2 linked regions of the Arabidopsis thaliana genome follow. The protein of the gene in region 1 purifies or fractionates together with the protein of each later gene. This does not show direct contact. Each region holds a gene or a part of one and is shown on either strand. Other genes may lie near its edges.

Region 1 (16,209 bases):
CATTTCTATTTGCTGCTGTTCTCTTCTTTTCCTTGTCTTACATTTTTTCTCTTAATGAGGAATGTAGGTACCCGGAGATCGTGTTCTAGGCTCTTATGCATTTGAGATAACAAAACAACCTATTGCAGTGCACTTGCGCTCCACCTCTGAGGTATAATATCACAAATAACTTTGTTATGTATTATTTATTTGTGGTTATCATGGCTTTTACTGAGTGGTTCCTACATGCTAGACCCATCTATATATTGGAATGTCCTACCAGCATGCTTTCTTAAGCATTGGTTATGAACAGAAGGAAAAAAAAACTAGCCAATCTCTCGTTAGTCTAATTTGGGGTAATATTCGCATGAATTTGAATGAGTCAGATCCTCATATCTTTTAGCCTAAGGTAGAGCATCTCCAAATTTCCTTTGCAAATTAAGTTTGAACTCAACAAGTATAGGCTTTCTGGGCCTGCTAAAATGATGAGATGGAGTGGATTAAACTTTACAATAACCAGTTGCATGCAGCTCTGGATGATATACAATAACCAGTTGCATGCAGCTCTGGACAATATGAATGCATGCTTTGTTTTTTTGTATGTATGCAGAAATTCAAATCAGTATCATCATCCTGGCTAAGTAAATATCTTCTGTTGCTAGACCTTGTAAAATTGGATCAGTCGAATGAATGAGTGGTGGCACTGAAAGTTACACTGATATTGAATTGACTCTAAAGAAAGAAAACAGATGTCAGCTAATCACATGAAAACAAAGCATATATTTGATAAGACCAACCAATTTCATTCATTTTTTCCTTCTTTTGATACTCTCTTTTGAGTTCCACATAATTAGTGCAAAAGTGCGCTTAGAGGACGTGATTTATCCTTGTTTCAGTTTTCTGTAGCCACTCTATCACTGAGTCTCAGGTATTCTTATCTACTTATTTGTTTTAATTGACCTGCTTCAGAAACCTGAAAGGACATTGTTGCTATCTATCTGTGCTGAAGGAGCTACAAAGGTATAATTTCTCTGACACCATAAAACTTAGCTAACTTTCTGAGGACAACTACGTCTCTCTATGTTGCTGATGTAACTTGTTCATTTTTGTCTTTACCCATTCCAGGTTTTCAGTGTTGTAGATTCAGGTTATCACGCCATAAAAGATATAAAGGAAACATTTGACTCCAGATTCCATGAGAAGGGAAAGAAAAAGCTTCAAACTGACAATATCATCCGTTACACAGAAACGTTCTTGCTTGTCCTGCCAAGCATTGGTATATCTTTGGTTAATTCTCATCCACAGGTAAACATCCCCTGAAAATCTAAAGCACGTCTATATTACATCCCAATATTTTTGTAACGCTCCAATCTTCCTCACAGGAATTGGTTTATGCTTGTGCATCAAATGTTGTGTTAGAGTTAAGTCAGAGTGTAGATCAGCAGAAGCTTTCCTTTCAGATCTCTTCACTACAGATAGACAACCCACTTCAAAATTCTTCGTATCCTGTCATATTGTCATTCAATCATGACCACGAAGTCATTCCTCCTGATTGGGGAATGAAGAACAACAAAGCAATACTTTTAAGTGAAATTGTTCAGCAAGTTAGGGGTAATTCCTGTGATGCTGTAGTCTACGTTGACCTAGCAAAGTGGCGGAAAAAAGATGTTTCACTAGTTTCTTTTGAGTACATAAATATTAGGTATGATTAATGGTCAACATTCTCCTTAGTATCCACACAGTTCATTGTATTATAATTATATACATTTTGTTCCCAATTCTCAGTTTGCTTTAAATAAATGCAGGATTGGTGAATTTGGACTTGAGCTGGAGCTACAAACACTTTTATCCTTACTGGAGTTCGTAAAAGCAGTGCTTCCCAATTCTCAGGCTAGACTCCTGCCGCTCTCAGATCCAACGCTACGTCCTCTGATTTATGACACTGGTTCCAAGGATATAAGTTCAGAAGATACTCCACATGCAAGAAACATTCCTGTATTTAACAAAAACCAGAGAAGCATTGTAGCTCTGCCTATAGTGGTTCCAATAGGAGCTCCTTGGCAGCATATTCACTTGTTGGCTCGAAGACGCAGGAAAATTTATGTTGAAACATTTGACTTGGCCCCTATTCAGTTTACTTTAAGGTGAGATAGAAATTGTCCTTTCAGGATAACTATACTTTTGGTAACCTATCTACATGTAGATTCACATGGGTCCTTTGTGTGTCACAATATTGACAGCTTCTGCAGTGCTCCCTGGATGCTTAGGAACGGCATTCTTACTTCAGGAGAGTCCCTTATCCATGTATGTACCTTCACTTTTCTTTCCTTAGATATATTGCAGAATTTTATTTTTGTTTATATTAAATGCATAAAGGATTTTTGACGTTAGGTTTTTAATAGGATTCCTTTCTTTTCTTGGCCAAATACCCATTTTGAATTTTTTGCGATATTCTCTTTGTTTCAACTCCGGTACTATTACCTGATAGACTATACATAGAAGGAAGGGAACAGATTAGTGTTCTTTGACCAATGATTAGGAGCTTTTATGACTTTGGGAGTGATTAGTGACCCCAAACCAACTCGTTTCTGGTCCAAGGATTATAACATAATATTGATTCATTATTCTTATAACGCCATGTTAATTCTTAATTGAAGGATGTTATATTTAATATGGTTAACTGAATCATTATGTTCGATTTCAGAGAGGTCTTATGGCTCTTGCCGATGTCGAGGGTGCTCGAATACATCTCAAACAATTGACAATTGCTCATCAAATTACTAGTTGGGAATCATTTCAGGAGATCCTTGTTGGGCACTATACCCGCCAAATTCTTCATGAGATTTACAAGGTAAGAACTGGTAAAATGTCACTTTTTCACTTAGTGTTTTTATTTCCTAGAGCACTCATACTATTCCCTATATACCTGCTGGACGTATTTCTGCAATGTACTATAACACAGGTTTTCGGCTCTGCTGGTGTTATTGGAAATCCCATGGGGTTTGCGAGGAATGTTGCATTTGGAATTAAAGATTTCCTGTCAGCTCCCAGCAGGAGTATCTCAAAGGTTATGATTAAAATCTCTTTTTGTTGCTTAACATTTTCATGTAATGTCTGGTTTAGTCACTTTTAACTTATATGCTAACCTAGATTACTTGAACAGAGCCCAGCAGGAATTATTCAAGGAATGGCTCACGGAACCACAAGTCTCTTCAGTAGCACTATTTATGCTTTAAGTGATGCTGCCACTCAATTTAGTAAAGCTGCACACAAGGTACGATGCATCTGTTTGCTTAAAAATCTATGGTGTAGACGCCTCCTTCAAGAAATATTTACAGAATTACCAATTCGTTGCAGGGTATTGTTGCATTTACATTCAATGACCATGATGTTGCAAGGATGGAGAAGCAGCAATTGGGTGAAGGATCGCGTAGCAAAGGAGTTATAGGTGAAGTGTTTGAGGTATGTTATTTGCACTTTCTTTGGAAGTATGTCTTATATACTGATTTGATGTTCACTTAGTCTTGAAAGTTACTTGAAGTCAGTGACTTCTGTCAAATTCTTCTGAACTTGCATAAAGAATTTAAGCATGCCAGCTGACACGATGTTCATCACAGGGACTCACTGGTCTCCTTCAATCACCAATAAGAGGAGCTGAGAAACATGGTCTTCCAGGCGTTATCTCAGGTATTTAAGCGAGAACCACCGCTCAAGTCATCTATAGACATTCAAGACATTTGATGTTCGTGTACACGCTGTCCTTTTGTTTCTGGCTTTCTAATTTTATGCATGTTAACTGGGTGCCTATATATGGTTCAGGAGTGGCCATGGGGATTACTGGACTTGTGGCCAGACCAACCGCTAGTATCCTTGAGGTAACTGGAAAAACCGCACAGAGTATAAGAAACCGAAGCAGGATTCATAACATAAGATCCCAAAGGCATAGGCTTCGTCTTCCGAGGCCTCTGAGTAGAGAACAACCTCTCAGGCCTTACTCATGGGAAGAAGCGGTCGGGACAGCAGTACTTATGGAGGTTGGAGATTCCCTGAAGTTCAAGGGCGAGAAGCTGGTGAAGTGCAAAGCCCTGAAACAAGAAGGAGCTTTCGTTGTAATCACAGGGAGACTGGTATTGGTTCTAAGCAGCCTGAGCTTGGTAGATTTCAGAAAACAGGGATTTCTCGGAGTTCCAATAGATTTGGTATGGAATATCGAAAGAGAAATCGGTTTGGAGAGTGTAATACATACAGATTGCAGCGGTGGAGTAGTCCGCATCATAGGAAGCAATTCAGATGGTGTATGGAACTGGAGACAGGACCAGCAAAAGAAGAGCAGCCCGACCAAAAAACGATGGAACAATCCTTCAGCACAGCCGCTTCTTCAGACTAACTTAGAGTTTCCATCGGAGGAAGAAGCAGAGGACTTGTTGAGTGTGTTGTTATCGACTATTGAAACTGGGAAAAGCCGGAGCTGGCACAGTCGATTTGTTTTAAGTCGAAGTAACATCACTTAAACCGGAGACTTGCGTACATAAGAATACAGTAATTCTTTAATTTTCTTTGTGTACAAAAGTGGCTTTATGAAACTAGTTTTAGAATATATGGTCTGACATGTTTTGGCTATAAAATTTTTTTTAAAAAAAAAGCGTAATAAATCGAAGTGTATTGTACATGGATTGTCAGGCATCATCATGATGCTCATATATGTGGCATCATCATGGTGATGCTGTTTTTCATGCGGGAGAAATGTTTTTACCAACATCAAATCGTATTGCTGCGGAGTTGAGAGGGATATTATGGGTACTACACAGTCTATGTGATCTACACTTCTATAATATTGAGATTTGGTCCGACTATGGTGCTCCTATGGAAGCCATTAGTGACCCATTAGATTGGCCACGTATTTATCTTATCTTGATAGGATTCATTGGTTTCTCCCGAATTTTGATAAGATCGTATTTAAGGTTTCATCGCACGAGATATAGCCACAAGCGTAATGAGAGAAGGTCGATGCAGATCATATTTAGCTCGTGGAAGTCCGATGTGGTTACACTCGCATTGAAGAAGACAAGCGGCGTTGATTTTATTGTTCTTTATTAAGTTAAGATCTTCTATAAGTGTATGAGGAAAACAAGTTTAGACGGGAAAAACAAAAAATCGAAGTGTATTGAGTAAACTTCAATGAAACCTGTAAAGAAAAAATTAAATTAAATTGAAGATTAAATAAGACTTTAATTTTGATTGCAAATCTTTTTATCGAATTCTAGATTTAGTTGTAAACATAGTAAACCCTTATTACACCAAATACTATAGTCATTTTGTTTGAGATAATTCATTTGGAATTCTCTTTAAAAGTTTAGTGATCGGAGGCTTCTCGATTTTCTCTCTCTTCTCTCACTTGAATTTTTCAGAGAAAGAAAAAGCGATTCATGGCAAGACTCCGTCCAACATCGTTCGGCTTCTTTAACGACGATGGTTGGTTCGTTTCCAGCATCAATTGGCTTCTTTAGTGGTGGTGGCTGGCTTTTGTATCCGGACGTGGTCCGGCTTTGCCGTCTTATCTCGCCGTCTGGTTTCTACTTTTCTCTTTAGTGGAATCCGGCTTTAGTTTCCAGTTCTTTGATACCGGTTTTACCTTTCTGCTTTTCAATAATCATTGTGATCTTAGTACCAATTTTTTTTTGGGTTTTCCTTATCATCCTCTTTTCTCAAGCTTTTTTGCATCCTTATTTAGATGAAAGTCAATCTTTGTTTCATTTCTAATCTTTACCTTTTGGGTTTTAATCAACTATTAGAGTTTGTTTCAACCTAAATCGATTCTCTCAATCCTTTGATTTAGAATCTCAATTCGGCATATCTGGTAAGATTTAATCATCAAGAGAAATCATGGTTTTTTATTTCTCTTTTGTCATAGATCGTTGCTGTTCTGGAGAAATTTAGATCAAATATAAACTCTGGATATTGTGGAGCAGAGAGTCAGATTTACAAGCGTGATGAGATTGTCGTAGAGGAAATGGTGGGTTATCGGATTTGATGGTGGTGCTGGGAGATAACGATGAAACAATCATCGGCGTAAGAGAAAAGTCACATCCACGTGTCGTATGTTGCTTTGACTTGTTTTATTAGCGCTGTACTCTTTACTACAAGGTGTTTAGTTGTACCCTTTATGGATTTGTGAAATACTTTGATGACTGGGCTTTAGTGATGTTTGTAAACCCATAATTTGAATAAAAAAGAAACTTATGAACAAGAAAAAAAAAAGTTCAGTGATCCAACGGATCCACAATTAATTTCCGTAAATGGAATATATTTTGCGACAAAGGAAAGGGCTAAAACAATTGTTATTGGGCCTTTTTTTTTGGGTTAATCAGACTAGCCTTCGCAAATTCGCGCTTTACGCGTTTCGCGTCTGAAGACACTACCGGAGTTTTTGTTCGGCGATTGTAGTTAGTGGTGGTGGATCCGGGCATTTCATTTGATAACCGCGGTGGATCTAATTGATCTGGATCTGACCATAGCCCTGCTTGCTTTTTCTGGAAATTTTTAGTGTGTAGCTCTGGAGAGTTTCTCGTGAGTCGAATCGTCTATGCGGATGCAGTTGTGCTCAGATTTTTGAGTTGTCTAATTGATCTTGAAGAACTGTGAGAGAGAGAGAGAGAGATCGAAATGTTGCGGGCGAGAGCATTTCGGCAGACCAATGGTAAGATTGTGAAGATACAGGTACATCCTACGCATCCATGGCTTGTTACGGCTGATGATTCAGATCACGTCTCCGTCTGGAATTGGGAGCATCGTCAGGTCTGTATCGAGATTCTGATTTGATTTTGGTTCCGGTTCTGATTTCGAATCGTGGATCTGTCAACGTTTATGTCTATTGTGTTAGGTAATTTATGAATTGAAAGCCGGCGGAGTTGACGAGCGCCGTTTAGTTGGTGCCAAGTTAGAGAAGCTCGCCGAAGGAGAATCCGGTGAGCCATTGTTCTATTCTGGTGAAATGAGTATGAGTTTCTGATGCTTTATGTTCTTACTGACATTCGTATTTTCCTCAGACTATAAAGCTAAGCCTACTGAAGCCATTCGAGGAGGAAGGTAGTAGATAGATCTTTCTCGCTGCTAATTCAGTTGCTCCTTTCGATAATGAGAAAAATGACTTATCTGCTCAATGTTTGCACCTACTAGCGTTAAGCAGGTGAAGTTTTATGACGATGATGTGCGTTATTGGCAACTGTGGCGCAACCGCTCCGCAGCTGCTGAATCTCCATCAGCTGTCAATCATCTGACATCTGCTTTCACTTCCCCTGCTCCATCGACTAAAGGCCGTCATTTTCTGGTCATTTGTTGTGAGAATAAAGCTATTTTCTTGGATTTGGTGACAATGCGTGGTCGTGATGTGCCAAAGCAAGAGCTTGATAACAAGTCACTTCTCTGGTAAGTTCATTGCTTTTTCTCTAATTTTAGGATATGGGTTTGCTTGACACCTGGACCCCGGGGAAGATGCTCCATTACTTTAGGCTTCCTATCTTTAAATCACTTGAATCCTGGAAAGACCTCCGTTAGTTACTACGCTGGAAATATTTGAGTCAAATGTAGACTAGGCATAAGTGTAATGGATATGTGTGTTCTAAGTGTAATGGATACCAGGCTTCCTTGATGTTTAATGTTCAGTCAATGGCCAAACTCCCTTTCTACATTTTTAATTTCTACTCCTCCTTAATGTTGCTAGAATTCTTCCTTTCTTTGCAGCATGGAGTTTCTTTCGAGATCATCTGGTGGTGATGGCCCTTTAGTTGCATTTGGTTCAACTGATGGTGTCATTCGGGTTTTATCAATGATAACATGGAAGGTTTGTTTGTTTCAAAATTATATTTTTTTTTTTTGGTTTCTCTGCTGGGTTTAGAGTGAGGGATTTTGATACTGATCTGTGTTAATTTCCTTGAATGTTTACTTCCTTGCAGCTTGCACGTCGATATACAGGTGGCCATAAAGGATCCATTTATTGCTTGATGAATTTCATGGCATCATCTGGCGAAGTAACTACATATTCCCTATATATGCCCTCTTTATTGCTCTGAATTTATTTCGAGTTATTTACTTAATATGTTAATAGTTAATACCATCTGATAGATGAAAGTGTCATGTAACTTAGAAAAACATACTCAAGATCACCTACTAAGATCGACTGTATATATTATATGAAAACGAGGTCTTGAGCATATCGTCTTGGAAGTTTCCTACATATATCTCTTTCTTCTTAGCGACGTAAAAATCTCACATTCTACTAAGTGGGAGTCCAGACCGCAGCAGGCCTTACTATACGGATACCTGTTTTACAATCCAAATATCTAGCCTTAGTTTCTTAGATCATCTGTACTCGGGTTAAATTTCATGCATAGCCTAGGCATTAGGAGCGGCGGGAATTTTAAACATTGGCATCTCTTTTCCCAATTGCTTGTTTAGGTTATGTTAATAGCGAATTTCTGATAGTACTGGGCTTTCTTCCCTTTTATATAACTTGACGTTTTTTAATGAATGCTTATCAAGTATTTTCTCTCTGTTATTTATGTGCAATACATGATACTAGCCATCCTCTATCTAAATGCAATTGCAGGCACTCCTTGTTTCAGGTGGCAGTGATGGCTTACTTGTACTGTGGAGTGCCGATCATGGCGCTGACTCAAGGGAACTTGTACCCAAGCTTAGCTTAAAGGTACTCAATTATGCCCACTCTTTCATTCAAAGTTCAAGAGAGGATATTACCATGACCGTTCAATTCTTAGGCCTGGAAAGATTTGCCAGATTTGGTTACAGCTGAGGCTAAGGCACCATTGTTCTTAGTTCCAGTGAACCTTCTGAATTGATTTCTGTGTCTGTTTCTGAATGTTGGATACTTGCATTTAGATATTCTTTCATTCTTTTTATAAAAGGCTGAGTAATGATTAGGGGACTATGACATGCTCGTGCTTTTTTTTTTTTTTTGGTGTAATAGACATGGTCATGTTTGCTTAATTGAGTGGATAATTTCCACTTCTCTGTTATACTTTTTTTTTTTTTTTTTCCTAATCCCTTCTTGGCTTCTTCTAATGTTTTTGTTCTGATTGTATTAGGCACATGATGGTGGGGTGGTGGCTGTTGAGCTGTCAAGGGTAAGTGGGAGTGCTCCACAATTGATTACAATTGGGGCTGACAAGACATTGGCCATATGGGATACAATGACATTTAAGGTAATGGTGTATCTCATGTATGGATTTTTCATATTTTCCCGATCTCATTTATTAACATGCATATCTACTTTTATTCTACAGGAGCTACGTAGAATTAAACCTGTCCCGAAACTAGCTTGCCACAGTGTTGCATCTTGGTGTCACCCTCGAGCGCCAAACCTTGATATTTTGACTTGCGTTAAAGATTCACACATATGGTATCTTTGTTTAAGATTTGGTATTGTATATGGTAGAATATATTTATGTATATTAGATGAGTGGTCTAATTGTTTGAATTTTTGCAGGTCTATTGAGCATCCAACTTATTCGGCCCTGACAAGGCCGTTATGTGAACTTTCTTCCTTGGTTCCGCCTCAAGTACTTGCAACCCACAGAAAACTTAGGGTAATTAGCTCATTGTTGATGAAATCCTCGAAATCTACCACGTATCATATCATTTCTTTCTGCCTGCTAGTTGTATACTATATCAATAGCTCATGCTCAAGCCTGAGCATGAGCATTGCTCTCTGAGGCTCCATTCTATGTGTCCCACAAAACATTAGTTTCTCTTCTTATCTCGTAAAATGCATCTATTATGGTTCAAATGATGAAGTTGTGTAGCTGTATAATATTGCACTTGGCAATGCAAAGGTATTCTGACTCAAGTAGACTAGGAATAAGAATAAGAATAGAATACAACTGTTTGTATTACTTCTTGCAGAAAAGTTTTGTATATAGCAGACTTTAAATTGATAGCTGTTTGAACACTAAATTTATCTAAAAGAAAATTGCAATGGAGAAGATACGTAATCTTTATGTCAGATGGTGATAGGGAAAGCACATGCTGCACCCGAAAGTTGAAAGTTATTCCTTTTTCAGAATTTGCAGATAATATTCGGGGTTCATTTTCTACTTGAAACCGCCAGTTGATGATTTTCAAAGATTGCTAGTTTCTTTATTGCATAATTATAATAGCATTGCTTCTGTACTTCTTTCGCTTTCATGGCTTCCATACATTGGTAGTAACCCTCATCAGGTACTTATTAATTTCCATTTTTTAGGTCTATTGTATGGTTGCACATCCTCTACAACCACATCTCGTCGCAACTGGTACCAATGTTGGTATTATAGTTAGTGAATTTGATCCTCGTGCTATCCCGTCTGCAGCTCCTCTACCAGCACTGCCTGGAAGTCGGGAGAATTCAGCTATATATATCCTTGGAAGAGAATTAAAGCTCTTGAACTTTCAACTATCCAACACAGCCAACCCATCCCTTGGCAATAATAGTGCCTTGTCCGAATCAGGGCTTTCTAAGGGAGACCCAGGTGAACAGTTAACTGTAAAGCAAACCAAAAAGCAGATCGTGGCACCAGTTCCACATGATTCATACTCAGTTCTTTCTGTGAGCAGTTCAGGGAAGTAAGTTCCTTAGCTAATTGTTTTTTATGAATATAATTTTCTTCTTAACTCAGCTAATTTGTTGAGTTTTTTTTTTTTTAGCCAGCTAACTTTATTCTCTGATTGTAGGTATGTGGCAGTTGTATGGCCGGATATTCTATACTTCTCTATCTACAAGGTTAGTGACTGGTCCATTGTTGACTCTGGAAGTGCAAGACTGTTGGCGTGGGATACATGTCGAGACAGATTTGCGATTCTAGAATCTGTGTTACCTCATAGAATGCCTATAATCCCTAAGGGTGGTTCATCGAGAAAGGCAAAAGAAGCCGCTGCAGCTGCAGCTCAAGCTGCTGCTGCTGCCAGTGCAGCTTCATCGGCTAGTGTCCAAGTTCGTATTCTCTTGGATGATGGTACCTCAAACATACTCATGAGATCCGTAGGAGGTCGCTCTGAACCGGTATGTGTCTGTTTTTTTCATTTATACCAGATCATCTGCATGTATTCTAGAGCAGATCCATTGAATATTTAATCTAATCATGCTCCTAAGAATTTGTGTGCTTTGGTTTGCATTGAAAATACTGTAAAATTAGTACAAAAAAATGTCATACTTGGAACACAGTAGTTTATTAATTGAATTTGACTAAAAGGAAAGGTTGCTAAACGTGAGAATCTTACTTGAGAGTTCTTCTTGACTTCAAGTGGTGGGTTATCTTTGTTACTTTGAAAAATTGATCATAGAGCAGTATGCAATGCTGGACGTCTAGGTTAAGCAACATTCGTATGCTTCATAATTTTCCTTTCAGGTCATTGGTCTGCATGGTGGTGCTCTACTTGGTATAGGTTATCGCACATCCCGAAGGATTAGTCCTGTTGCTGCAACAGCTATTTCAACCATTCAGTCGATGCCACTCTCGGGATTTGGAAACAGCAATGTTTCTTCGTTTTCTAGCTATGATGATGGGTTTTCTTCGCAGAAGTCTGCTGAGTCTGCACCCCTAAACTACCAGCTCTACAGGTAAAACTAGCGTTGTCCTTCTTATTTTTATGCAAGGCTCATTTCTGTTAGCACTCTTTTTACTAAAATAGTGTGCAGGCAGCTAGCTGTTGGGCATATTTTATTACATTTCATTTTCTTTAGTTAGCTATATTGACCAAATCAGAGTCTTTTTTCCTCCTCTGAGATGTCTGGGAGATAGTTACTCTTGTTTGATGGAATAATAAGCACTGTTCACCAATCTGTACTGATTCCCATAGTTATGTTTTGGCTAGCTCTAATTTTGTTTGAAGGATTTCAGTTCTCTATTATCTAAATGGAATTTTTAATGTGTAGTTGGGAAAATTTTGAGCCAGTAGGTGGTATGCTACCTCAGCCAGAATGGACGGCATGGGACCAAACAGTTGAATACTGTGCTTTTGCTTATCAACAATACATGGTCATATCGTCCTTGCGCCCTCAGTATAGATATCTTGGTGATGTTGCCATTGCACATGCTACTGGAGCTGTTTGGCATCGCAGACAGCTGTTTGTGGCTACACCAACCACGATTGAGTAAGCATATTGCTCTATATATGATACATGATTTTTTTCTGTCTTCTGCCAGTTACCTTAAATGCTACTTCCACTTGGATGAAACAAACTAAAAATTGAATCTGTGTTTTTGCGGTGGATGTGTATCAACAATTATTGATTATTCAGATGGTGCATAATCCAACTTTTCAGAGATTACTATGTTTTGAAAAGAATTGCTCTAATTCTGAATTTGTTAAACGCATGGCTACCTTTATCTGCTACTTTTTAAAACAAATATCTGGGGAGGAATGCTAATACTTTCTTCCATGCCTGGATTTCCAGATGTGTTTTTGTGGATGCGGGAGTTTCCGAAATTGATATAGAGACTAGGAAGATGAAGGAAGAAATGAAACTTAAGGAGGCGCAGGCTAGAGCAGTTGCAGAGCATGGAGAGTTGGCCTTAATCACAGTAGAAGGTTCCCAGGCTGCAAAGCAAGAAAGGATATCTTTAAGGCCCCCCATGCTGCAGGTAGATTTTTCTTACTTTTACTTGAAAATATTGTAAGCTATTGGGAAGCATAATTTTTAAGGTCTAAGCGTGTTGTTTTGTACTGCATATGTGTCGACATCTATGTCAATTCATGTCAAACTAGCAAGAGTCTTCCTTATGTGTATACCTTTTAATTGTAGGTGGTGCGTTTAGCTTCTTTCCAAAATGCTCCATCTGTTCCACCATTCTTATCATTGCCAAGACAATCTAGAGGTGATAGCGATGACATAATGGATGAAAGAAGGGTCAATGAGGTAGCTGTGGGTGGTGGAGGAGTCTCAGTTGCTGTTACTCGTTTCCCAGTGGAGCAAAAACGACCAGTGGGGCCTCTTGTTGTTGCCGGTGTGCGGGATGGAGTTCTTTGGCTCATTGACAGGTACTATGAGTCTCCTGTTCTTACCTTACGACAAGACTGACTCTTGTTAATACATTCCTTGTTCGATGCTGACTGTATGAATTGGTGAATCGTTTTATCTTCATTTGAGATATTTATATTTAATTAGATTATGAATTTTCCTTTCCATTTATATTATGCACTAGGTAGGCACTGAAATCTGACATTCTGCATTCCAAAGTTTCCTCGAGCACTAAGCTTGAATACAATATCTTGCCATGATAGTCATTTTAGTTGCTTGAATGAATAAAGAAATATTAGACAGAAGATAGAAATTATTGTCTGACACCTCCTTCCATTTCTTGGTAGGTACATGTGTGCCCATGCCATATCCCTTAATCATCCTGGTATCCGCTGTCGCTGTCTTGCTGCTTACGGGGATGCTGTTAGTGCAGTTAAATGGTATGGATATGTTTCTCATAATCTCGTGTTTATGTGAGTAGTTAAGTAGCTGGAATCCTTATACAACATTTTTTTTGCGCAGGGCAAGTAGGCTTGGGAGAGAACATCATGACGATCTGGCACAGTTTATGCTAGGGATGGGATACGCAACAGAAGCTCTTCATTTGCCTGGAATATCTAAGAGGTAAATAAAACATATAATATTTTGGTGCCGCTTTTCCTTCAATTTGGTTCTACTATAGACAGTTTTTTCTAGTCTCTGAATTGCTTATGCTGGACAGTAAACAGAATTCAGTATTTCACTCATGTATTGAATCCTTCATCCTAGCGTTCAACTCAACCAAAATGGCATCAGAGATTTTTTTTTCACTTTGACTTAGGTTCCGAGTTTGACTTAACTTTATGTTTTCTCAGGCTGGAGTTTGACCTAGCAATGCAGAGCAATGATCTTAAGAGGGCACTTCATTGTCTTCTCACAATGAGTAATAGCAAGGACATTGGACAGGACGGTGTAGGCCTTGATTTGAGTGACATTCTCTCTTTGACAGCTACTAAAAAAGAAGATGTTGTTGAAGCTGTGGAAGGAATAGTGAAATTTGCAAAGGAGTTTCTTGACCTTATAGATGCTGCAGATGCCACAGGGCACGCCGACATTGCTCGCGAAGCTCTCAAAAGACTGGCAACTGCAGGTTCGGTCAAAGGCGCTTTACAGGGTCATGAGTTGCGAGGCCTTTCATTACGCCTAGCAAACCATGGAGAATTGACACGCCTAAGTGTATGTCTGCAATTTCTCTTTCTTTCGGTTTCTAACTTGGTTTCTCGTATTTTAGGATACCTACAGAAATCTAAAGACCTTTGTCTTGTTCACTAGATAGGATCGACATAACTATAGACGAATTTATGCTTTGATTTTATACTTTGTATCTTCTGGTTCCTAATTGAAATACTTTATTAACTTTGTTGCAGGGACTTGTAAACAATCTGATCTCCATAGGCCTTGGACGAGAATCAGCATTTTCTGCTGCAGTTCTGGGAGACAATGCGCTCATGGAGAAGGCATGGCAAGACACGGGAATGCTCGCAGAAGCCGTGCTTCATGCCCATGTAAGATTGTTTTTGTATTTTGGTTTTTCTTTTTGCAGTTTATAAATTAAACTTGTATTGTTTCTGACTACGCCTACTGTAATTATTTCCACAGGCACATGGTCGCCCAACTCTAAAGAACTTGGTCCAGGCTTGGAATAAAACGCTGCAGAAGGAAGTTGAGAAAGCTCCGTCTTCTAAAACCGATGCTGCAAGTGCGTTTCTGGCTTCTCTCGAGGATCCAAAGCTCACTAGTTTATCTGATGCATCTAGAAAACCTCCTATCGAGATTCTACCTCCTGGAATGTCTTCAATCTTTGCTTCCATTACGGCTCCCAAAAAACCTCTACTCACGCAGAAGACTGCACAGCCAGAAGTAGCTAAGCCATTGGCGCTCGAAGAACCTACGAAACCATTGGCTATTGAAGCTCCTCCATCTTCCGAGGCACCACAGACCGAATCAGCGCCTGAAACCGCAGCCGCTGCTGAGTCACCAGCACCTGAAACCGCAGCCGTTGCTGAGTCACCAGCACCTGGAACCGCAGCCGTTGCTGAGGCACCAGCATCTGAGACTGCAGCAGCACCTGTGGATGGACCAGTGACGGAGACTGTGTCTGAGCCTCCTCCCGTAGAGAAGGAGGAAACTTCTTTGGAAGAAAAAAGCGATCCGTCTTCAACTCCAAACACAGAAACAGCTACGTCCACAGAAAATACTAGCCAAACAACAACAACGCCTGAAAGTGTTACAACAGCGCCACCTGAACCTATTACAACAGCGCCGCCTGAAACTGTTACGACAACAGCAGTGAAACCAACAGAGAATGCAGCAACCGAGAGACGAGTAACCAATTACCCTCCAATAAGAAGCCAGCCAATAGATTTTGATTTCTTGAATGGCTAAACCAAGTTTTCACAGAAGATCCCAAAACGAAGACAACAGAGTGTATATCTTTTAGATATATTTCATAATCAAAGCTTTATGTTCATTATAATTTAATTGAGAGTTTAATGTGTTTAGTCTTTTTGTATTGTCAAGTTTTTTTTTTTGTGTTTTTTTATCATTTATTTGGCATATTATTAAATGGTTTGTGTCATTGTTATTATCAAACAAACCTCTCTGAGATTATCTATGATTGTGAAGCGTGTAAACTGAGTAGTAGTTTCTTTTTTTTCCTACTTCGATATGAATTTGTTTTTTTTGTAATATTTCATGAAAAATCATTGAATTTAATTTCCATTGGACAGGTGTAAATGTCAATAACCGTCTTAAAACCCTCTGAGTCAACCAGAAGTGTTTAAGCTTTTGAGTTGGTGCAAAAAGAGAAAAGCGAGATTGGGTTGTTGTTTCTGAAATCGTCTGATTGGCGATAAATCCTCTCTTCCTTCTCATCTCTCTTTTCCTCTCTTTCTTTCTCTCTCTCAGCCCTAAGAGAGAAGAAATAGGCTCTGCTCTGCGCCTTTTCTACAAGAAATTCACCAAAAAAGCTTGAATATTTATCGGAATCAAAGCTTGGGTTTTTAATCCTGGTAAAGCCATGTCACATATGGTGTTTCAGAGCGTTGTCGCTCCCAAACCCTTATCTCCTCTCAAACCCTGTTTACCTATCCCTCGTCCACTCGTTACTCTGCCTTGTAAGCTCCGTCGTGGCTTCGTTAGAGCTTCTTCGTCCTCGTTTCTTGTCGATGATTCAGTTT
Region 2 (15,756 bases), about 15 Mb from region 1:
TGGAGTTTTCTAGCTAATTCACATTTCTTATTATATTGACTCTTTTTCACTGTTTTTATGTTTTCCCATCAGCTTTCTTTTTGTCCACGTAAACATTTCCAAACATTTTTATTTTAAAATTTCTTTATACTTGTATACATAAATACCTAATACCTTGCTGGTAATATATGGTCAAAATTAGTGAAACCTTGGAACATTTCCTGTAACAGCTCTTATTACTCTCACAGTCGCAGTGATAGATATATAGTAGAATAAGTTAGCAAAATACAATAATTGTAAAAACACATTTAATACATAAGCATGTGAGAACATTTTTACGTGAATCCAATTGTTCATTGAATAATTAAATATTAAATTGATTGTTAATTGAGGATTCATTGTCTAACGAGAAATCCAAAGAGCAGATGTACTTTCAAATTAAATGAAACATTTAAGACAACATTAAACCAAACGAAAATTGAAAAATGAAAAATAAAAGACACCTTTTTGTTTGCCACACAATTTACGCTTTCTCTATCTATTTATATGTACATACATTCACTTTCACCAGAATCTCATCAAACACACAGTCTCTCTCTAGCTTAACAAAAAAACACGAAACACTTTGAGTTCCATGTAAGCGTCCGTTGTCTTCTCTAAGTTACAAAAGCCCTAAAACCCTACTCTCAATATGAATAGTTTCGAGCCACAAAGCCAAGACTCTTTGCAAAGAAGGTTTCATCAAGACAACAGCACCACACAACAACCTCGTGACACCACGACACCTTTCATACCCAAACCGGCTTCCAAAAACCATAATAATAGCAACTCCAGCTCTGGAGCGGCCGGGAGATCATTCCAAGGCTTTGGGCTTAACGTAGAGGACGATCTTGTTTCATCGGTGGTTCCTCCGGTTACGGTTGTGCTAGAGGGACGTTCTATATGTCAACGCATAAGCCTAGACAAGCATGGGAGTTATCAGAGCTTGGCTTCGGCTCTAAGGCAAATGTTTGTCGATGGAGCTGATTCAACGGACGATCTTGATCTGTCAAACGCCATTCCTGGCCATCTTATTGCTTATGAAGACATGGAGAACGATCTCCTTCTTGCCGGAGATCTTACTTGGAAGTAATTTTCCTCCCCTAACATTAATTTTCTTTATTATTGTCAGGATGGCCATATATATACAAACTATATATAAAACGAGCCTTATTTTAAACATAGGAAAACTATATTAATTTTTTTTCCCCTAACGGTAAAATACTACAAACACAAGTTTTTCAAGCTGCCAAGAAAACACATGTTCTCTGCTTTTCTAAAAAGACAAATATCAATAATTTAGTGAAATGATATTTTGTTGCTATCCTTATTCTGTATACTCAATTTTGCTGGCTATAGTTATTTTGTTTGATACCGTTATATATCTTTCTTAAAAATTACGGTTTTCGTTCAATGTTTAGTATAATTAGATTTTGAAGGTTTCGTGATCTTTAACTGGCAATATTTTAATACTTGGACGTTAACGAGAAAATTTGCTTGTTGACACAGGGACTTTGTTCGTGTAGCGAAGAGAATTCGAATCTTGCCGGTCAAGGGAAACACAAGACAAGTTAAAAGAAACGAGTGAGGAGGAGAAAGACCGTTTTTGCAACGATGTCATACGATGTTTTGTAACAGCCGATGTCGGTTGAATCCTAATGGCATTACTGTAAAATCATCATTGGATGTGTTTGCTTCTTTGTTCACGTACGAAATGAAAAATAAAAAAAAAGTTGTAATACTAAATATAACCTATTTTTCTTAATTATAGTGTAAAACATGAAACGTTGCAGTAACAACACATGTTAGTGATGCGTAAAGAAGAGAGATTCCAAACCATAAAGAAGGAATCAATTCAGCTATACCGACAAGAACAAAATAAGATAAGCCAATGTTGAAACTTGTGGGTAAGAGTAGTTGTACAAAAATAATTTGTTTAAACGTTGAGGCAAATTTTTTTGTTTGGTCTCTCGTCATGTCACCACTTAGTTTCTTTTTATGTCTTCAATAGCCAGAAAATCATAGAACCCTTGACGACATAAAGCCTCATGGCCTTTGTCATGTACATGCCAAAACAATATAACAAGACAAAGAATAAGCTTCATGATTTGAGTTTTTATCATTACCTTGAAGACGTTTGTATCGTTTAGTTCGAATCTTCGAATGGAGGCAAGCCCCACTCTTCCGGTTTAAAATCGACTAGAGAGGTTATGATTTGATCTGCAACATCTTGGTGAGAGATATCTAGTCTAGGATCCGGTACCATAACCACGTTCCTGTAGATAGACATCAAGATGTATAAACTTGTTTCTCGGTTTTTATTGGCTTTTACATGAAGAGAAACCCACTTACATTCCGGCGTTTTTAGCAGCAAGAACTCCAGATGGAGCATCTTCAAACACCAGAACCTTTTGTGAATCCACAGGACCGTCCTAAGGAATCCAGACGAAGAGGAAACATTAGTCTACAACTCATTTTAAATATGAACTAGTTAGTAATGGAGAATCTTGGAGACTGTTGCCTGTTAGTTACCTTAAATCTCCTAGCAGCAGCGAGAAACCCGTCAGGAGCAGGCTTTCCTTGCTTCACCTCTGGATCATCACCACGAACTACGTGATGCATCAATGAGAAAAGCTCTCTGTGTCTTTGGGTTTTCAGATCATAATGCCGTGTGTGAGTACTGCAAGCGTACAATCAAACATAACAAGTCAGTTTCTGGATTGTAAAGGACAATGAGAATGCAAACTAAATGGTATATTATGAGATGAGGTGAAGAGATTACCCGGTAGCAATACATATTGGAATATTCTTTACATGGAGATGCTTAATGAGTCTACTAGCCCCTGAAAATGTGGAAGAGAATTGGTTCATGACCACATCAAAAACATAAATATCCGTACATGTAATCTTCCTGTGAACCAAATGTCATGTGTTACAAAAAGCAGAATCTACCTGGCATGAGCTCACTAGTAGGGAAAAGGTCTTGCAACATTGACTCTCTCTCGACAAGAAAGTCCTCAGCTGAAAGAGAGTCGCTAATCCCGCTTTCTTCAACAAAGATCCTGGCAGCTTCTATTGCTTTTCTACCCATCATTTTAGCCTTGAGAGACCAATCAAACTTTTTATTGAACCTAGCAAGTATAATCTCTTGGACCTCAGTGTAAAACTTCTCAGTATCTGCAACAGAAACCAAATCAGCATGAATGTATGCAGCAAGAGCAGATAAGCCAATGAAGTTGTGAGATTTTGAATACACAGAACAAAAACTCAATCGCTCGATTTCCGATCAGATTCAAGCTAATTGCTTTAGCATCTTAACATCAATTGTATGAAATCAATCCTGGAAACTAAACAGTCACTACTAAAAAAACCATCAAATCTAAACAACGATAGTGACAGTAGTACGATCTAATAAAGCTGGAGATTGAAGATCAGATGCAAGGAGATTACCGAGAAGAAGACCGTCCATGTCGAATATGACGTGAGTGATTGATCCTCTGCCGGCGGTGACGGCTGCAGGATTCGACATTGTTGATTCGATACCGATAACGACGAACCGAATCCAGTTTCAGTCGGAAGTTAGTTTTTACGCTGGAGAGTGATGTCACTATGACGTATAACAAAAGGTTCATGGGCCGTATCTTGTAAATGGGCCGGTTCACATAGAGAGTAGAAGTTTTGCTCATAGTGAAGAGTGCTAATAAGAGATGTTGAAACTTATACATTGGAACTAAATATGTTTAGTCTTCTTCTATACAAAATAAAAGTGAAGATTCGTATACAGAGCTTTTGTTAATCCAAAGACCAACAACGGCCAAAAAATTTTTCCTCTTGTAGAGCTCCGTCGTGTCCTTCAGATGATTCAATGGTTGTTTTTAGCAACAGCCTTAGGCGGAATCTCTCATTCTTGTATACATCAGAGGCTGAATTGATCCTCTCGAACTGCAGTTGATTCCTCTGCCACTGAATAACCACGGAAAAATAGAAAACAATCGAAGTGTTAAAGATCTTTTAGCTACAAGTAATCTGTTTTAACTCCATTTGCTTACCAATAGGACAATGAAGTATGTTAACTAGATTAATTACTTATGGCACTTATGAAGGCATGCATCATCATATTTTGTGGTTTCAGTCATTTTCTGGTTAGAATCGAGAAATTAGCTACAGAGTTCAAGTGAAAATAAATACAAAAACCATATCCACCAGGATGATCAACACTACCTATTCATAAAGATATTACGGCCAGATATAAAGATCACATCAGCAATTTACTCAACAAATGAAACGATTTGAAGATAGCAACCAAGTGGGAAATTTTCGACTTCGTGCAAATTCAATGATGCAAAGAAAAGAGAATCAGAGAACAAAGTGAGAAGCTTGCAGTAGACTTAGGAGCTAACAGGAATCTTTTAAAAAGCTTTATTATGAATAATTGAACATAGAATGCTTATAAACTAAAAACAAGCACATATCACATCTAACCAAGAGGAGGAATCCGAAAAAATAAACCTGGCTTTGCTGCAACCCATCTCCGGATCCTTCTGCAATGTACATAAATAATGGCTAATGAACAAATACTCCAAAAAATCCGGTGATGCTTCGAACAAAAACTATCCTACATAGCACCCGAGTTCACCTACGCTTGAACCGCACAAATCCCCTCTCGTGTGATCATGAACTCGCAAGAACTCCCAGGCAAATAAGGTGAAAACACTATGTCAAGCCGTCTCTTAGCACTTCTGGACACAGAACTTGAACAATTCTCGTCCTTTTCACTTCTATCTTTAACAATACTACCATCACTTCGTGAAATAAAAAATCTGGAATTCACACAATTAGCCCAAGCCAAGCCTAAAGAAGGAACAACTCGTCTTCCAGACGAATACAAATACCTCAAATTCCCAATCCTCAGCCCACTTAACCCATCAGAAGTTTCAACCAAATCCGTAACCTGATTCGTAATCACAATAGCCAAATCAAACTTGCTAGCCAACTGCTTCAATTTCCCAGATATCTTGAAAAACAAAGAAGATCTCTTCTTAAGATCAGACGGAGTATTATCAAACTCCGATCTAAACAATGCCGCTACAGAATCAAGCACAATCAACTTCAACGGAAACCTAGTTTTCGAATTCCCAACAAACCCATCTATCCTAGGCATTATGTCGAACAGGTGGTCTACAGAATGGACATTTTGTACAAACACATGATCACAAGGATTATCATTGTAATTCGCGTAAATACTAGGGTTTGATTGATGAAACGTGTGCGAGAGCTGATGGAGACGACGAAACGGAAATGGGAACTCTGAATGGAGATAAAGAGAAGAACCGTTGAGTCCGCCGTGTGAAATCGGAAGTTGGGTACAGAGCGAAAGCTGAAGGCAGAGCTGTGTCTTTCCGCAGCCACTCTCCGCAACGATTTCGGTTAAAGAATCGCAGGAAATTCCGCCGCGAAGACATCCGTCGAGGATTTCACAGCCTGTGGTTAGTTTACGATTCGTCGGCGATCGTCGGAGGAGATTCTCCGGCTTAATTTTCCCATTTTGCATTTCACCGCCAAAAGCTACCAATTAAAAAAAAATCGCAAAAGTTATAAGCGCTACAAAATTTAAAAAGACCTAATCGCGTTAAACGACATCGTTTTATCATATTATTGGGCTTCTTACCTTGACATTAGGCCCAATAAGTTAAGAATAAACGTCTACTATTGGGCTTATTTTCAAACCATCGCATTAGGTCCATGCAGGTAGGATACGAGTAATGAAACAAACGACGTCGTTTTCGAAAGAAACAACGAAGATCTCATTTCTCTTTCTCCTTTTCTTCTCCGACGATTCTTCTCAGTTCTCAGATCTGATCGATTTCTTCATCAGATGTTTCAATCTAACCATTGAGATTGAATAGTCACCATTAGTAGAAGCTTCGAGATCAATTTCGAATCGGGATCATGTCGTGTTTAGCCCTAGCTCTGCAACCAGCAAATGGATCCGACATTTTGCTCCAAACTAGAGAATGGTTTCCACCAGCAAGAGCCTTAATCGCTCTCTCGTATTTTCGTCAAATGCGTCAAGCATTAGCGTCCTCGAAGCAGCAGCATCAGCAACAATCGAATCAGAAACAGAATCAAGCTTCTTCTTCTTCTTCTTCTTCTTCCTCCGTTGCGGATCCTGACGATGCCACGGCGGCGGAGTTTGTAGGTGATGATCCACTCGCTGCTTCTAATGGACAGGTTATTGTTGGTGTTGAGAGCAAGTATCGTGTAGTTTATAGATTAGTGAACTCGATCTATATCCTTGGTGTTACTGTCGCGGATCATGATAATTCGATCAATGTATTTGAGTGTATTCATATTGTGAATCAAGCTGTTAGTGTTATTGTTACTGCTTGTCGTGGAGTTGAAGTTACTCCGGAGAAGCTTGGACGGAAGTATGCTGAGGTTTATATGGCGCTTGATATTGTTTTGCGTGGTGTTAGTAATATCCGTCTTGCGGCGATGCTTGGTGCTATGCACGGAGATGGGATTGCGAAGATGGTTCATTCGGCTCTTGATACTGAGAATAAGATCCGAGGAGCTGATAGTTGGATGGCTGTTGAATCGCATGCGGCAGAGCATCAAGCTTCTGTAAACGCATTTTCTAATGCAAGATTTGAATTGCCTCCGGAGACTGTTGCCGCTGGAGATGAGTTCGCGGCGAGCTTGGCTCCAGTGGTGCCTGAATCAGAGCAATTGAAGGAAGAACCAGAGCCGGAGAATAAGGATCCTTTTGCGGCTAGTGAAACGATTAACAAGGAGAAAGAACTTGTGGGTGGATTCAAGAAGACTAAGGATCCGTCCTCAACGGATTTGACTTTGGCATTGGCTGGACTTGAAGTGACGACATTACCTCCAGCCGAGGCAACACAGTCTACGCACATCAATGTGGAAGGATTCGAAGGGCAGTATGGTGGGATTGAGTTCAGCAATGAACAGGCTACGATTGGAGAAACTTTTGAATCGTTTAGTGATGCTTGGGGAGGTGGGTTGGATCCTTCAGAGTTTATGGGACCAAAGAAGATTCAGAAGAAGGAAGGACTCGGTGGGCTTGAGCTGTTGCACACCAGTGATCCGAAAGCAGTGGAAGGCAAAGATGGAGTTAATATCGATAACCTAGTTAAGAAGCCTGAGATGAAAGGTCCTGAAATGTATATCTCTGAGGAAATTAGAACCGAGTTTAGAGAATCCTTGCTTGCTAGAGTAGGAGTAATGGGTGTGATCTATCTGAAAACGATGCCACCCAAAGGCTCTGGTGAAGAGAAAGAAACTGAGTTCTCATTCCGTGTTGAGGGTACTACTGCAGTTAAGAGATTTGCTATGCAGAGTTCTCGGATCAGTAGCTTAGGGAACGGTTTGTTTCACGTGAGAACTGCTCCATCAGAAGAACCAATCCCTATCCTTAAATATAGCTTGCAACCTAAACTAACCCCGTTGCCTCTTAGAGTCCGAATGGTGAAACGAATCAGCGGGACTTTACTCTCACTTATGATACAATACGTCTCAAATCCGGATCTACCTCAGCCTCTGAAAAACGTCGACTTTATCCTAAAACTCCCGGTTGATCCCACATTGCTTAAGGTTTCGCCTAAAGCAATACTGAACAGAACCGATCGAGAACTGAAATGGCAAATTCCGGAGATTCCTCTGAATGGAAGTCCCGGGAGACTAAGAGCACGGATGCCTATCGATTCAGATAACAGCGAGGAAGAACCAGATATCATCTGCTATGTGAAATTCTCGGTACAGGGAAATACTTCTCTGTCTGGTATCAGTCTACGTGCAGCTGCTGAGGGAAATACAGATTTCTTTGAGGTAGATCACAGGTACGAAACCGGAGTCTATATGTGCAATTGATAAAAGTTTCTCTCTAAAAGATTTACATTGTTTATAATTTTCTCTAATGTTCTTGAGTTTGGCCTTTGTTGAGAGTTATTCTTTTTTTTGGTATGTGTCATGTAAGGTTTTGTGTACTTGTGTATCTTGACCTCTCTTCATTGTTATGTTATCTGTTTTACTCGATTTGCTTTTACATTTTTATATTATTGAAATGCGGATTACAAAATTTAAGTTTATCAAATATACTTTGCAAAATGGTAAAGTGGAAGATTCTCCTAATTGTTGTGATGAAAGTATCAAAATAATTGTGGTGGTTGTTGAAGTACAAAGGCTATTATTATGTAAAGACAATCACAAACATTTTGAAATTGTTGATCTCTAAATATCATATTACATTATACATAACAAACTTAAGACAGTAAAAAGTATAGATGTTTTGATTGATCAGAACATGTAATATAGTCTTGAGTACTAAGGTTGATATAGTGTCATAATCTAGTGCCCGTTTGCAAGTTGTCGCAATTTTTTTTGATGTAAAATAGTGCATGCAATGACCTATTTTTTAGTGACATTAACAATAACCACTATGGTTCTAGTATCATCTCCCTCGAATAAGGCCTTAACCCCATTAAAGATTTACACTATGGTTTTAGTATGATCTCATCTCCCTAGTATACAACACATTTTGTGTAGCTTTACTATACATCATGTTTATTTTAAAAAGTGGGATTGATTCCACATGATTCTTAACATATAGTCATATAGATCTTGCTCCTGTCAATTACATGATGCATTAAAAAAAATCAGCTGAGTATATTAACAATTACGAAAAATACTAATCTCACATCATACCAGCGCGCCGAATTAAATCCATAGAACATGTCATTCTTAGGTCAATTATCCACTATGACATTTCTTTATTTAAAATGATAATGTCATGTGGGTATTAAGCACCAAGTACAATCCATTCCTAACTACGGGTTACAAAATTAAAATATCAATAATAATTTACATATTTGTCTCTTATTTGTAGAGTGACATGTCTAGTTGTCCAGATTTAATATAATAAACTAGTTGATTAATAGCAATTGCTTGTAAATTACTCAAAAAGTAAGCAGAAGCTGTGGGATCCTAAACACAAACCTCTAAAGAGATGATGAAAAAAGAGATATTGATCAACTTGGCCTACCAAATCGTCAACTTTAAGTCTTTAACACTTCACATTTGATTAATAAAACATATAATTTGAGTGTTCATTGACATATAAGAACGTATTATATTGCAAGCTAAGGGATGAATTCTCAACCCCAACCGGCCATACCTAATATATGACAGCTCTATTTATCACTACACAAAAAGGACCAATTATTTGTTTGGTTTTACACCTATTATAACAATCACTATATTACATAAAATGGCGAGTACATGCTATACACGAAGGTCAGTTGGAGCAAGATGTCTGAAAACATTTTTAAGTATTCATTATTCAATAATGTCTTGACTCGAGAATCATGTGTCTTCACTCTTCAATAATAATCCATAGTTTTATCCGTCTTGTTTATATGCAAAACAATAGTAGCCACTGTATTTTCAGTATTTTAGTAGATGAGATTAGGTGTTTGGGTTATTAGCCTCTTTAAGACTGGATAACTTATGCATTAAAATTATTAAAAGTTTTAATTGCTTCCAAACCTTCTACAATAAACATATCACCATCCCACCCAAACACCTGGTATATGTGTATAGGCAAAATACTAGTATTTAAATATTAACATGCTATTGACTAACACATGGTTATAGTTTGACAAATATTTGGTCCAAATTATTTTATGCATAGTGATAAATGCTAATGGCACCCAATGAGATCCACTTTTGCATTTCCCATTCCCCACATAGAAAAATCTTCATCAACCATTTGCCTTTTGAAACTCCCTTTTTTTTTTGGCCAAATCCTCTTGAACCTCCTTTTTTAATCACTCTTCTTTTTACTTCAAAACTTTTCTCATTGTAGCACATTTTTGTTTCTTTCACTTTCTAACTTCCGAGTTTCATACTTTCATGTTTCATCTACTTGTAACAACCAAAAGAAGAAGAAATATCATAACCTTTGACCATTATGTTCTACATTATAAAACTTTAAAAGAAAACAACAAAAACACATTTCAATCTTCTCTAGTCTTACAAATGTTATCCTCAAGCTCAATCTCTTCTTCATCATGATCCTCATCTTCATTTTGACTATCTATTGCCCTCTTCTCTTGTTCCTCAACAACTTCCAATTCAGTCAAATTCCCACTTCCACCCCTCAATTTCCCATCTTTCACATTTCTCTCCCCTCTACTTTTTAAATCCTCCAACAACTCCCTAATCGCCTTCTCTTTATCCCTCCTATTCTTAATCAAAGCCTCACTTACATCAGCAGGAGTCATCTCAGCCTTCTCCACAACCATCTCCATCTCCTTCAAAACGTCGCCGTTTATATCTTCCACCCCATACCCCAAATAATTCTTCAACAAAATCTTCAACGATGGGAAGTTACAAAAACTCATGTAGATATGCATATCCATTCTCCCACTTCTAAGCAATGCAGGATCAAGCTTCTCTATATGATTGGTCGTAAACACAAAGATCCTCTCACTTCCACAACAAGACCAAAGCCCATCTGTAAAATTCAACAAACCCGACAACGTTATAGTATTCCCATTACCACCTTCCTCTCCCGAACCACCCGAACCTGAACCCGAACCGTTTCTTGTCTCCGCATCATAATAACTCCGTTGCGACGATACATTACTACTATTCTTCTTCCTATTAGTCAAATTAATCGAACAATCAATATCCTCTATAACAATAATAGACTTAGAACTCGTTTTCATCAACAACTTCCTCAACTCCGAGTTACTATGAACCTCAGTGAGCTCAAGATCGTAAATATCGTAACCGAGATAATTCGCCATCGCTGCGATCATACTCGACTTACCAGTACCTGGTGGCCCGTACAACAAGTAACCTCTCTTCCAAGCCCTACCAGTCTTCTGATAAAAGACTTGACCTTCAGCAAAATCTTTAAGATCATCCATGATCTGTTGCTTCTTTCTCGGATCCATAGCTAAAGTTTCGAAAGTACTCGGATGCTTAAAAGGAACAGATTCCCAAGGATGTCCTCTTGAGTCAAGAGACCCACCTCTTGAGTTAGTATAAAGCAACCGGTCTTGGTTTTTCCGACGAATCTCATTAGCTCTCTCCATGATGTAATCAAGATAAGAATTGAGTATCAAAGTTTTGTCCTTTTTCTTGATTCGTAGAGTGAATCCACGTTTCTCTTCAGGTAATGGTCTCCAAGCAAAAGTCTGAGTTTGACGCTGTGTAACGACGTGTTCCCATAGAACTGTAACGCCGTTAAAGGTGTCGACGATTGAGTCGTTGTTGGAGAGACCGAAAGTGATGGAGGAAGAGTTAACGGCGCGGGTTAGACTTAAACGGTTTCCGGCTATTGAGACGGAGGAGCTTAAGTAAAGCTGAACGGCGTTGTAGAGTTCGTTGGTGTTGACGCCGTCGATCTCTGTTATGTCGAAGTAGCAGTAAGAAGAGAAGACGTGGAAGATTCTGTTGAAGAATTTGAGGAAAGCGAAACGGAGCTCCGGTGGGAATATTGATTGCATTAAGCTTTGACAAAATGCTAAAACTCCGAGTAGTGAAGCTAATGATGTCCAATACTCTTTCATTGTTTTTGCTTTGAAGTTAGATCAGAGCAAAACAGAGTGAAGAAAACAGAGGATTTTTGTCAAAACAGAGTGAAAACAGAGGATTTTGATCAAAAACAGAGGATTTTGGTCAAAAACAGAGATTTATTTTCTAGAAGGTGAGAGAGATTTGTGGGTTTAAGAGATTAAGAGAGATAAAAGATGGGTTTCGTTGGATTTATCGACTAGAGATTATTTGCAATGAAAACTTGAGAGAGAAGAAGGAGAAAGGTGAAAGCTTTGAGAGATCAAGAAGAGAGAAGAAGAGAAGGGTTTGTCTCAATATATAAACTTTGATAGAGAAAAGAAAATATGAAAAGCTATAATATTAGCCTGGTGATGGTGAAAGAGGGCAAGAGGGAGATAGGTGGGGGACATTAAAAGTGAACAAGTGTAAAAATAAGAAAAAGAGTATATACAAAATGCAAAATTGGGATTTGGAGTTTATTTCTTTGAATATGAAATGTTGAATTTAAGGCTAATTAGTAATGGAGTTGCTGGATTTGATTTTGGGACTTTCCTTCTTGTTTTCTTTCTTTTTCCTAAATAATGGATTTAGACTTTTCCTTTGCTTTTTTCAAGTAACGTCTTTAGACTTTTTATATAAATAACAAAATTTGTAACGGATTTTCTAGTGTGTGACAAAATTGTCATCTTTTCAATATTGATTAATAATTTAGTATAAATGTTTTTTTTTTCTTTTTGTTTTACATTTTAGGAGAAATGAAGTGATTATCATTAGGCACGCAATCTTTTTGTTATATGTCTAGTAATTACTGTGTAGATTGAATTAAAAAAAAAACTTAAGATATCCATTTACCAAAAAAGAAAAATATTATTTCCAGGAGGTATGAATATAAAAAAGGGTAACGAGTTGATGTGATGATGTGATAGTCCACAAAAGTGAATGAGGTTAAAAAAGATTTTGGGGTTGTTGCAGAGTAAAAGTTATAGACAAGTACAGCTAAGTAAAACGCCCCCTGAAAAATTTAACATGCAGAAGAAACATATGTTGGTGTTTGTTTGTGTTTTTTTCAAAACATTACAATTTTTTGGAGATATATTCACGTTTCCTCCAATCCAAGGGAAACCATCTACTGATCCACGTATATTTTCTTTTGTTAATTCGAATTGCATATGCTTTTTTTTTGTGAACTACATTAACAAGTAGTTTTAACACAGAACAAAACAAGTTTTTTTTTGAATCAATAGAGGCAAACATTTCATGTGCGGCAGTTCAAAACAATGCAAATAATTTGGAATAGAAAATTTAAAATATATGACAGTGTGACAGATACTTTGAGAACATATTGTATGGGTTGGACTAATTATGTAACGTTTATTATTTCCAATTTTGATATTTGGGACCCCAAAAAAATCGAATTTAGATATGCCAAATATATATATCATAGTATCTTCACATTATCAAAATAAAATTGACATTAAGGGAAACATGATCAGAGAGTATATTACAAGACAAAAATCTTCATATACAATAGTACCAAGAATCACCTAAACTGAGTATTACCTTTTTTGTTATATTACCTTTCGTTTACTTCGGGGGTGTTATTGGTTTGTGATTTATATGGAATTTTTAATGATTTGAAATGTTGTGAAAAATCTTGTGTTATTCAATTAAAATTTTATAAGACTCTTTTAAAGTTTGGTGTTATTAGATTTTGATTTGTAAAAAGTAATTTAAAGTCTTCATAAATCTTGAGTTATTAGATTCATACTCTAATAAAGTCATTAAAAAATTTGTGTTATTCAACTAAAACAAATGAATCTATGATTGTTAATGATTTAAATTATTGTGTTACTGGTTTATGATTTTATACACTTTTCTTTACAAACTAAAATCATGTAAAGTATCATAAAAAAAGAGAGATTGTGAATGACTTTGTAACTAGGAAGATTTTACAAGATTATAGGAGGATTTTACAAGATTTTGGAAAAGTAATCATAGAGATTATACAAAACTCTCTAAAAGTCATTTAAAATCTTTCATTTTATCTACTTTCTATATTTTTTTAAAGTCATTAAAACTCTTTCAAAGTCACAATCCAATAACACCCCCTTCGATTCAGCGTTAAATTTTTTACATTAAAGAGTTACGATTTCTGAAAAGTATGCATCGGATTTTCGGAGAAATATATGGGAGATATTTTCTCAAACTATTGGAATCAGTTTTTGGTCAACGAATTATTGGTATTTGAAGTTTGCAAGTTATGAAGATTAAACGGAAATGATAAAAGAATACAGAAATGTCAAAGGTGTTGTAACTCATGAGAACATTAAATATTGGTCAAGATTTCTGACCTTTTCAAAAGGAACTCTCGCTTTCATCGCTAAACTCATAGTTCGTTCGTATCATCATATTAACCATCAAAAACAGGATCTTGGGGACTTGGCCTTTAGACATCAAGAATATTAACCTTTTTTTTAATCTCTCTCTCGTTTTTAGGCAAGTACAACATACATAATTAGCCCATGCATAGAGTTATTACTTATAAGGTTGCATCTAACATTTTTTGGTGCAGATGGGCCGGCCCGGCCCGTATGAACAGTAGTGATTATTTTTATTTCTTCGGCATCACAACTGTTTTATATGGCTCTTCTATACTAGAGGTGAACAAAGGGGTTCACGGTGTCGTACGTTTATACAGATCGATCGAACCAAGTGAAACCAAAGTCTAAAGAAACAAAAAATTAATAGATTCCATCTAAAAAAAATTGGGTTTTGCTCACTCCCTTTTCTTTCACATCACAATGAAAAAACAAATATTAATGCAAAAGTGATTCAATAACCCTACAAACCGTTCGTTTGGGGGTGATTTTTTTAGCACTTGGTGAAAAATTGAATTGTTTAGTTTGTGTTTTCCAAACTGATAAGAGCTCTTTTCTTGTTTTATGGTTTGAGGGCGAGGGCGAGACCAAGCTTTGGTGAAGAGGTCACAGCCTTTGAGTCATACTCAGCTGAGAAAGTGATGTGCGACTTCGGTCTCCATTCTCTCTGGACCACCATCCCTGCTTTCCCACTGTTAGAAAATCTGGTCTTAACCACTGTGAATTGATCCACAGAGTGAGAGCTTCCGACGGTGAAGCTGTTGTTATAATTGGAGAAGCGACGGATCAGTTCTGCACCAAAGGATGTGGTTGGGTTCACTGTGTGGACGTAAGTAGCTCTCAGACTCTCCCCTTTATCCTCCCTACAGTATTAACAGTCTCAATTAAGCCACAACCAAAAGCAGATGGAAAAATGGAGCATCGTGTTGTTTCTTACAGTATGAGTGCAGCAGAGACGCCTTGGTTGTTGAAACCAATCCCTGCATTGTACTTTGTTAGTGATGATGAAGCTGTGTCGAAACTGACTTCACCACCAAGGCAAACATTCTGGCTTCCGATAGTTGCTGATAGATCTAACAGAGGAGTTGGGTTGAGGCCAATGCTGGAATTGAGCGTAGCATGAGGATGAACATATTGCACATCCAGCTGAAAACATAGCAAAGCCACAAATTACTGAGTACAGAAATTAACAAACATTAGGGTATAATACTCATTTCTCATATGGGCTATGCACTGACCTTGCCAGACTTGTGATCAGGTATTTTGAAACTAATTACAGCTTTAGCGGATGGCAAGAGATTTTTGAGAGTTACTTTCGTCGACACCTGCGTAAGATATATATGTTCAGTAATATGGTTTAGGACAGTTAAGGTGCAAAAAAAATCACTAGAGAAATTTGCTTACACTAGAGTGGCTGTCGATTTTCAGATCAACAATGGTGTTTTGACCTTTATATAGTGTGCTTATATCGCCAAAAAAGAAATCATCCTTCTTCAAACCAGTAGCCACAAATTCCTGTAGGAAAGAAAATAACATTGTGCAGTATAAAGTTAAATAGGTATAAAGCAGTTTAAGAACATTAAGTTAAATAGGTATAAAGCAGTCAAAGAGCATGCTTCTACGAACTACTGCAACCACTTGGGATTCAAAAAGCATGTAATACCAGTATTCATAAGCACTTCCCTGGTAAGTTGAGCATAGTCTATTCAAGTAATCTTCAACGGTTCATATAAGCAAATTATGTTTTCTTATAAGATGGATTAACTCCATTCAAGTA

The links.
Region 2: the proteins of AT5G24710 (region 1) and AT5G57460 fractionate together in Arabidopsis thaliana (co-fractionation; one large-scale study listed by BioGRID). This does not show direct contact.

What each region holds. Positions count from the first base shown.
Region 1 is NC_003076.8:8,458,354-8,474,562, reverse strand, and holds AT5G24710 (Transducin/WD40 repeat-like superfamily protein), read left to right. Parts: upstream 1-6,389; 5' UTR 6,390-6,642; coding exon 6,643-6,774; intron 6,775-6,859; coding exon 6,860-6,944; intron 6,945-7,025; coding exon 7,026-7,065; intron 7,066-7,155; coding exon 7,156-7,404; intron 7,405-7,719; coding exon 7,720-7,819; intron 7,820-7,931; coding exon 7,932-8,006; intron 8,007-8,584; coding exon 8,585-8,683; intron 8,684-9,080; coding exon 9,081-9,197; intron 9,198-9,278; coding exon 9,279-9,394; intron 9,395-9,481; coding exon 9,482-9,581; intron 9,582-10,237; coding exon 10,238-10,596; intron 10,597-10,704; coding exon 10,705-11,032; intron 11,033-11,378; coding exon 11,379-11,590; intron 11,591-11,905; coding exon 11,906-12,124; intron 12,125-12,427; coding exon 12,428-12,614; intron 12,615-12,775; coding exon 12,776-13,011; intron 13,012-13,338; coding exon 13,339-13,431; intron 13,432-13,513; coding exon 13,514-13,615; intron 13,616-13,845; coding exon 13,846-14,206; intron 14,207-14,397; and 5 more. Other genes in the region: AT5G24740 (vacuolar protein sorting-associated protein, putative (DUF1162)), read left to right, coding at 68-151, 949-999, 1,105-1,284, 1,362-1,681, 1,785-2,123, 2,220-2,283, 2,684-3,046, 3,143-3,253 and 3 more; AT5G24690 (plant/protein, putative (DUF3411)), read left to right, coding at 16,050-16,209.
Region 2 is NC_003076.8:23,269,354-23,285,109, forward strand, and holds AT5G57460 (muniscin carboxy-terminal mu-like domain protein), read left to right. Parts: upstream 1-5,756; 5' UTR 5,757-5,967; coding exon 5,968-7,908; 3' UTR 7,909-8,135; downstream 8,136-15,756. Other genes in the region: IAA33 (indole-3-acetic acid inducible 33), read left to right, coding at 671-1,107, 1,528-1,606; GS1 (Haloacid dehalogenase-like hydrolase (HAD) superfamily protein), read right to left, coding at 2,165-2,294, 2,371-2,450, 2,551-2,698, 2,801-2,861, 2,971-3,195, 3,469-3,547; XRCC3 (homolog of X-ray repair cross complementing 3 (XRCC3)), read right to left, coding at 4,655-5,569; AT5G57480 (P-loop containing nucleoside triphosphate hydrolases superfamily protein), read right to left, coding at 10,053-11,615; VDAC4 (voltage dependent anion channel 4), read right to left, coding at 14,542-14,842, 14,917-15,125, 15,218-15,304, 15,384-15,494.